Rattus norvegicus: one gene and its partner. The protein of the gene in region 1 interacts with the protein of each later gene in a pairwise test. Links are inferred from orthologs where the notes say so. Each region holds a gene or a part of one and is shown on either strand. Other genes may lie near its edges.

Evidence for each region.
Region 2: the proteins of Lonrf1 (region 1) and Crx interact in binary tests that used the Homo sapiens proteins (3 or more experiments, as listed by UniProt). The two-hybrid records come from large-scale screens. The link is inferred for Rattus norvegicus from reciprocal best matches to the Homo sapiens genes LONRF1 and CRX.

The regions. Positions count from the first base shown.
Region 1 is NC_086034.1:62,686,560-62,690,985, reverse strand, and holds the start of Lonrf1 (LON peptidase N-terminal domain and RING finger protein 1), read right to left. Parts: upstream 3,056-4,426; 5' UTR 3,042-3,055; coding exon 2,246-3,041; intron 1-2,245.
Region 2 is NC_086019.1:85,679,051-85,683,407, reverse strand, and holds the start of Crx (cone-rod homeobox protein), read left to right. Parts: upstream 1-1,555; 5' UTR 1,556-1,619; intron 1,620-4,357. UniProt on the Homo sapiens protein: Transcription factor that binds and transactivates the sequence 5'-TAATC[CA]-3' which is found upstream of several photoreceptor-specific genes, including the opsin genes.

The DNA of each region.
Region 1 (4,426 bases):
TCTGTCGACAAGGATAAGTTTGGTTGTGTGTGGGCCAACTGCAGACTAGATTTTTTTTTCTAATAATATTTGTTTCATTCTAAGAAACATGAAAAATTACAGCGGTTTTTTTTTCATGATCAACGAAGACAGTGCCATTAATAACTATAATTGAGCAATGATACAAATGCATTTCAAATGCTTACCTATCTCAAAACTGGCCAACTCCAAGACACCTTAACCCTAACAACCGGACAAACAGATTTGCGAGAGTAGAACTGACACACTGTGGTGGGTTGTTTGGAAGGCTAGGGATACAAAGCAGAACGCTGCGCATGCCAGGCGAGCTTGCTACCCCTGAGCTATCCGCCCACTCTTATTAATGCCCATAAATTATGAAACACATACACATTTGCCCCCGACCAACTAAAATATGTTTGGCTCTTTAATTGTTCTCTTTTTATCTCGCACAAAGAATTCAAGAGAAAAAAATATCATCATTAGTATCATTGAGATGCATATTCGGGTGGAGAATTACTGATTTTTCTGACAAGCCTATGAATAAGGAAAAAAAAAACCCTATAACATAATAAAGTGAAAGGCCAGAGACTTGAATTCGAGTCTTGAAAAAAGTGTGGTTATGTGGCCTGTGGGCAAATCTCACATGCGGTCTATGAAGCTTGGAAGCGACAGAATTCATCATTCGCAGCCTTTTCTGTTCAAGATGATATCCTGGTAGACCCGAGGATCTCAATGCTGGGCAGAGAATGTTGGGAAGTGGAGGGTCTAAGCTGCCTATACAAGCCACCACCCAAGTGACTGTTGTTAAGTCACCTGCCCTGTCTCTGCTTCCTCCTTAAGGTCTGACAGAAGCCTGATACTGGATGATCAGTCAGGTCCAGCTTCCCCCACTCAACTTTATCCACCCAGATATCCAGAGTCATCCCCAGCAGAACTGTGCATCCCCAAGTGTTCTATCACTCTGGGTTTGTCGTTTTAGTTTATGAGTGCCTGCTCATGAAGCTGCCAGAAGAGGATGAAAACGTGCCAGAAGGGTATGCCTGAAGCTACTGTCAACTTCCTCAGTATGACTAAAAGAGTCAAAGTAATAATTTCAGTTACAAGTTTATAACTTACCTAATACCTAAAATCAGTTCAAATTCCCAATGTCACTCATTTCCTGGGGATTAATACTGTATGTAATTTCTCATGGCAGCCCACAGACACACAAAGCATGCCCAACACCAGGTGACCAACTATGATACAGTTGACATTTGGGCTTGATCAGTCTTTCACGTAGGTGGCTGTGAGCTTAGGAATGTTTAGCAACATCCTTGGACGGGCCACTAGATGTCTGTACTGACAGGACTTCTACAAGAGGTGGCCATTCAAAGATGTCTCTAGATGCTTTACTAGATAAGGGTCCCTGATGTAAAAATCTCTAGGAGGTAAGTACCACCACCACCTCAGTAGAGAACAACCGAGTTCGAGGATTTAAAGAACTCTTGGCTTTACTAAGTTTACAATGACCCCTTTATCCGCAGTCTAAAAGCCATCTCCAGTAAACTGGACAACGCTGTTCTTGGATATAAGCAAAAGACCTACAAAGCTTCCCCTCACAGGTCTACACTGAGTAAGGCAAACTCGTCATAGGAGGCTACTTCTCTACCAACACCAGGAATGTGTGGGAGCACGCACAGAGGTCCAAGGAAGCAGAATGTGAGATAGGCAGGTGGAGGTTCCTGGAGCAAGCGATCCTTTAGGTAAGAAGAGGTGACCACCTCGCGGGCAACCGGTCACCAACTCAGAGCTGGGCCGCCGCTGGGCCTCCGGGTGCCGGTGCCCGCGCCGGGCTCCCGCCACGCCCACCGAACGTCACCCGTTACACAACGCCCCCCCACCCAGCTTATGCAATTCTGCCCTCCCGCGGCTTCTAATTGCCCCGGTGACTTTAGTGCATGACCAAGGTAGACGCGGTACCCCCAAGCCCCGCCAAGCCCGGGGATGCTCGCCCCACCCCGGCTGGGGTTCCCAGCCAGCTCACAGAGGGAAGCCTGTGGCCCCCACCCACCCCGCGCCCAAGCTCCGCCGCCCCAGGTCCCCGCTCGGCGCGCGCACGAGGGAACCTCGCATCCGCGCCCCTCCCTGCGCCGCGTCACTTGAGGCTCCCAGGCGATCCCCACCGTGACCGAAGCACCCCGGGGCGCCGCCCCCTCCCACACTCGCAATCCCCGCTCGCCAGTCCCGCACCGCAGCCCCGCATCACCTGCTCGCAGAGCGTCGCAGGCGGCGGCCAGGGCCTCCCGGTAGCGTCCTTCGTGTAGTAGCTCCCCGAGGCGGCCGGCCGCCCGCGCGCGCTCGCGCTGGCCCGGGAACCACTTCTCCGCCAGGTGGTTGAGCACGACGCTGGTTCGGAAGTCGGCGATGGCGGCGGCCAGGGGCGGCGGCCGCGGGGTCCCCTCGGAGGCGGCGGCGGCGGGTGGCAGACGGTCCCGGCACAGGCGGCAGCGGGCGCGCAGTTCCCTCCGTAGGCAACGGCGACAGTAGCTGTGGCCGCACGGCACGGTCACCGGCTCACTTAGGAAGCCCCGGCAGCCCAGGCAGCTGAGCAGCCCGGCCGCGCCCGCGGCGGGTGCCGCGCTCCAGCGCAGCCCGTGACGGAGCCGGTAGCTGAACACCAGGCAGTCCACTAGCGAACCGAGGCGCTCGGGCCTGGCCGGGGCCCCGCGGCGCAGCGCAGCCGCGAACGCCTCCAGCGCTCCCTTCAGGTGGCCGCCCAGCGCCAGCAGCTCGCCGCGGCGGAGCAGAAGCTCCCAGCGCCCCGGCTCCGCGCCCGCGCGCTCCAACCGCTCGCCGCCGCCCACTTCCCACGGCCCGTTCCGGCTCCGCGGTCCGCCGGCCGTCTCCCGATTCCCGCCCGGGGACGCCCTCGCCACGGCCGGAGAAGACATGGCCCGCGCAGGGCTGCTCCTCCGTCGCCGCCCGCCGCCACGGTCCGGGAACCTCCGGGGCGCGCGGCTCCGCACGCGGCCGGCGAGCAGGGGGGCGTGGCGCGCGGACATGGCGGGGCGGCGCGCGCCCGGGGAGCCCCTAGGGGCGGGGCCTGGGGAGAGGGGCGGAGCTTAGCGAGACGGAGAGGGGCGGGCCTTGGCTTCCGCGCCCGGCCTCCCGACACGCGGCCGGCCGCCCAGTACCGGAGAGCTGGCCGGCCTGTCCCACCCTTTCTGAGCCCCTCCTGGTGAGGGACGCGAGATCAGATGATCCCCAGCGGGGATCTAATTGGCTTCTCTGACAAGGAGGCTTGGCTCCTGACTGAACAAAGCCTGAAGTCTCCCAGGCGGCCTGCGAGCTGACACCTCTTGTAATCGTGGCTGGTCCCCAGGCCTATAGTGGGTGCTATGCTGTTCGTGTGGGCACCAGCAGTGCTGTGACCCCAAACCTGCCGCACATGAGTAGATACTTAGACCCCTCCTGGCCGTAGATGGAAGCCTTGGGTGGGTCTGGATGCCCAGGGTTTCTGCTGGCCAGAACAAGTAGAGGGACTGCGAATGCACATGCACGGTGTGATTACTTTGAGACTCAAATCTGAAATCGGCCAACTCTAGACACACATATTTCATGTTACTGAGACCACTTCCTCCCAGCACGCAAGAGTTTTTCTTGGTGCTTGGTTAGTGCTGACTTGTGATGAAGTTTATTAAGAGAAAATGACAGAAACGAACTGTCCAAAAGAAACCCAATACTTTGTGAGCGATTTGTAAACTTTAATTTTAAAAGTGCAATACACCAAAAAACATTAAACTATTAAATAAACCACATGTACACTTAGAGAGTGAAAGTCCCCATGTCCTCAGGTGTGCTCCACATCCTTCATACACACTAACCCACAGTTGCTTAAAGTTTTTTAAATGAGAAAACAGGAGAAAAACATTTTCGCTGTGGCAGAAACCAGATCACCACGATGCAAGCGTTCTGCAGCTTGGTCGATTGAAGATAGTTTGGCTCATATGTAATGGGTTCTAGTTCCTCTAAATGTGAAAGCATCAGGTATCTCAATGGAAATATTTATAGACTTGATTACAGAGTACTGGGTTGGTAATGTAGGAAGAGATTTAAGGCTTCTTTTTCAAATACTTGATAACAGGAAATAATTCAGTCTGAAATCATACAGTCAGTATTGAAAAGATTTTAAGATCTCACAGTGATAGTATCATATATATATATATATATATAATGTTTAATAAAATTATCTTCAAATATTTTTAACCAGAGATCTTCAAATAAAGCAATTGGATGGAATGTCAAAGGTCATGCTGTCTAAAATTGTCTAACAATTAATTGTTCCTGCTTACACAGAATAGGTAATAACAGTTCAAAAGTGTCTTTATACTAAACAATGAGCAAACTTTCCTCAGAAAAGAAAGGGGGACAGGAACAAAGAGAGAGA
Region 2 (4,357 bases), on another chromosome or scaffold:
AGAATTCTTTGTTTAGCTCTGTACCCCATACCCATCGTTCCAGCTGCATATATAGCAGAGGATGGCCTTGTTGGGCACCAATGGGAGGAGAAGCCCTTGGTCCTGCCAAAGCTGGATCCCCTGAGTGTAGAGGAATGTCAGAGTGGGGAGGCAGGAAGGGGAGGTGATTGGGGAGAAGGAACACCCTTACACAAGAAGGGGAGGGAGATGGGATAGAGGGCTTATGGATGGGAAACCGAGAGAGGGAATAACATTTGAAATGTAAATAAAAAATATCCAATAAAAAGCAAAACAACGGGCTGGAGAGATGGCTCAGTGGTTAAGAGCACTGACTGCTCTTCCAGAGGTCCTGAGTTCAAATCCCAGCAACCACATGGTGGCTCACAACCATCTGTAATGGGATCTGATGCCCTCTTCTGGTGTCTGAAGACAGCTACAATGTACTCATATATAAAAAGTAAATAAATCGGGGCTGGGGATTTAGCTCAGTGGTAGAGCACTTGCCTAGCAAGCGCAAGGCCCTGGGTTCGGTCCCCAGCTCCGGAAAAAAAAAAAAAGCAAAACAACAACAACAAAACCCAAATCTAAACAAAATAGACACAGAGAGACAGAGTCAGACACACAGAAACACTCAGAGATAAAAAGAGAGGAAGAGAGACAGGGAGGACAAGAACCAGAAGCAGAGTTTCAGAGAGACAGCCAGAGACAAGGATTAGAGTCTAGCAGAGACACAGGTGGAGATTGACAGAGACAGCCAGAGAGAGATTTAGAGACAGAGAGTCTAACAGAGACATAGAAACCCAGGGAGAGGCATAGACAGAGACACAAAGAAACTCTGAGAGACAGGGTCTGAGCTAGTGATGAAGATACAGAGGCAGAGATTAGAGGCAATTGAGAAGATACAAAGAGAGCAGTGGAGAGACTGCAGAGATATAGAGAGATGGAGTTGGAAACTGAGGGAGGGGAGGAAGGAGGGAGAGAGATGGAGAACACAGAGAAAGAGAGCCTGAGGTCAAAAGAAGGAGAACCATCAGGAACTACACATGTGAACTAGTTCACTCATCCAGAGTACAGATCTCTTCCCAGTTATTCTGGCTGTGTCAGGAGATTTACAAGTTCAACGCTAGCGTGGGCCACAAAGAACAACCCGGAAAGCCCTGTGCCTTTCTCTTCCCAGTCTCTCAGGAGCACTGTACACATTTCTCGGTGCTTTTGAAGACATTTCTTTCCAGATAATAGCTGATGCTGGAGGGACACCAGTTAGACCTAAGGAAAGACTTCCCCAGGAGTGGGGACTCCTGGTTGCCGGCAGGAGTTGGGCCTTCCTTCCCTCCCTTCCTCATCAACCCTAATTGCCAAGATGTCACTGTGGGGGTGGTGGCGGTGGATTAAGCAGACGGTGCCCTTCCCCCAGCCAATGTCACCTCCTGTTGCCCAGTCGGTCCCCCACCTTCCCTGGGATTACCCTTCGAGATCCAGGCCACAATAGATGACATCACTCTCAGCTCAGGCTTAAAGTCACCCCATGTGAGGGGACCTATTTCCTCTAGCCTCTGCTGTCTGATGACACCATCCAGGACCTGGGCATCCAGGAGAGCCCCCATTTCTTCTTTCCAAAGGTGAGTCTTTGCAGGAGAGGCTGAGTGGACCAGGAAGAGAGAGAGAGGGGGTGGGTGGGGGAGAGAGAGTGAGAACGAGAGAGCGAGAGAGAGCAAGAGAGCGAGAGAGCGAGAGAGCGAGAGAGAGGAGATTTTATTCTCACTCGTCCATGTTTTCTGGGCTTGGTATAGTTTGACACAAAGATGGATCTGTGATGCTTTCTGAATAAATTAAGGTAGGGTAGAGATTCCAGCAGGTGTTCAGGGAAACAGGCCACTTAGGACCATGGTTGGAGGGAGTTCAGAGGTGGAATGCACACATCCGTGTATGTGAGCATGTTTGTATGTTTGTGTGTGTATGTATGTATGTATGTATGTATGTATGTATGTATGTGTATATGTATGTATGTGTACAGCGTGTGTAAGTGTGTGCGTCCATGTAAGAGAGCATCTGTGGAGGACAGAGATAGACATATTGGGTGTCTTCCTAAATACTTCCCGTTTGCTATTTTTTCCTAGAACTCTCTATGTAGACCAGGCTGGCCTTGATCTGATGGATCTTCCTGACCCTGCCATCCAAGTACTTAAGGTTAAAGGTGTTCACCACCACACTCAGCCTATCTCAGACAATGTCTTTTACTGAACTTGGATCTCCCTTCTGAGCTGAGGCTGGCTGGACAGTGAGCCCTGTGTATCTGTTTGTCCCTGTTTCCCCAGCGCTGGGGTTATAGTGTGCCCAGCTTTTATCTGGATGCTGGGGATCTGAACTCAGATCCTTACATATGCACAGAAGGTGCTTTATGTACTAAGCCATCTCCCCACTCCCCCGCAACCTTTTAAATTTTATTTATTTATTTATTGAGAGGAAGTCTTATGGAGCATCGGGTGGTCTTGAACTTGTTCTGTAATAGAGGCTGGTCCTGAACTCCTGATCTTTGTACACCACTACTCCCACTTGTATTGTCTTTAACTCTTTGGGATTTTTCTTCTCTGTTTGTAAGGATATATATATATATATATATATATATATATATATATATATATATTATATATTATATAATATATACATTATATATCCTGTTGAGGCCAATGTGGCTAATTTCTGTTCAATGCCAGCTCAACATAGTAAACTGGAATTCTTTCTCTAAAGTTGAGAGCAGGGCTAATGTTTCTAAGAACTCAAGTTATAGATGTTGAGTTTTGAAGGGAAACACCAATATTACTAATTTTTTTGCCTCAATGACTGTAGAAACTTTTCTAGGGCCTGTGGTCATCCAAATGAAATTATAGAGACATGTGGCAGGGCATAGTGGTGTATGCCTTCAATCCTAGCATTCAGGAGGTAGAGGCAAGCAGATCTGTCAGCTTGAGGTCAGCCTGATCTACAGAGTAAGTTTTAGGTTAGCTAGGACTTCATAAACTTTATATCAAAGGGAGACCTTGTCTTAAAAAAAAATATGGGGAGTTGGATGGCTCAGTGGTTACGAGTACTGGCTGCTCTTCAGGAGGATTGGGGTTTTGATTCCAAGCACCTACATGGTGGCTCACAGCTGTTTGTAATTACAGTTCCAGGGTACTTTTCTGGCTTCTTCTGATGGTACCAGGTGTGTTTGTGTTCATAGAAATACATGCAGACAAAACACCCATACACATAATATTAAACAAAACACTAACACAATGAAAGTAAAAAAAAAAATCCTAGGAACACCAAAGTTCGATATTACTGCTGCATATTTCTCTCTCTCTCTCTCTCTCTCTCTCTCTCTCTCTTGTCACAGTCTTTTATAGCACATGCTGGCCTTGGATTTGCTATATAGCTGAGGATGACCTTGAACTTTTGATCCTTCTACTTCTACCTACAGAGTCCTAGGATTACAGGTGTGAGACTCATGTTACTGTTTCTTCTCGTGTGTGTGTATGTGTATGTGTGTAATATATGCATGGAAGTGTGTGTATCTATTTGAATATGCCTGCATATTTGGAGGCCAGAGGATAACATCAACGTTTTTTCTTCTATTCCTCCTCTGCCTTATTGCTTTGAGACAAGGTCTCTCAGTGAACTAGGCACAGGGCATTTTGACAAGGCTGGCTGCATAGCTAGCTCTTGAGACCCACCTGTTTCTACCCTTCTTAAGGCTATAGTTCCAGGCATACAAAGCCATGTCTGGCTTTTTACATGGTAGCTACAAATGTAAACACAGGTTCTCATGCTTTTGCACTTAGCACTCTTCTCTACTTAACCATTTCTACCATGCCCACCCCACCTCACTTTTGAGACAAGGGCTCATGTATCCCAGGGTAGCCTCTAACATGATAAGTAGCCTAGAATGTCATTGACCGCCCCCAGCCTCCATCATCTGAATTTTAGAATTACCGGTGTGTGCCACCATACCCAGTTTATGTGATATTGGGGATTGAACCCAGGGGCTTAATACATTCGAGGCAAGTACTGTAACCAGCTGACCTATACCCCAAGCTTCCCATTGTCATTGTTAGACAGAGTGTGCTTATGAATCCCAGGTTGGCTTTGAATTTGGATCAATCCTCCTGCCTCAGGCTATGAGTGGCATATGTGAGCAAGCCTCCACACCCAGATAGAGGGTGAGAAGGAGGGGCTGGAGAGATGGCCCAGTGGTTAAGAACACTGACTGCTTTCCTTGAGGTCCTGAGTTCAATTCCCAGCCATCACATCTGTAATGAGATTTGATGCTCTCTTCTGGTGTGTCTGAAGACAGCTGGCTGCAGTGCACTCCTATACA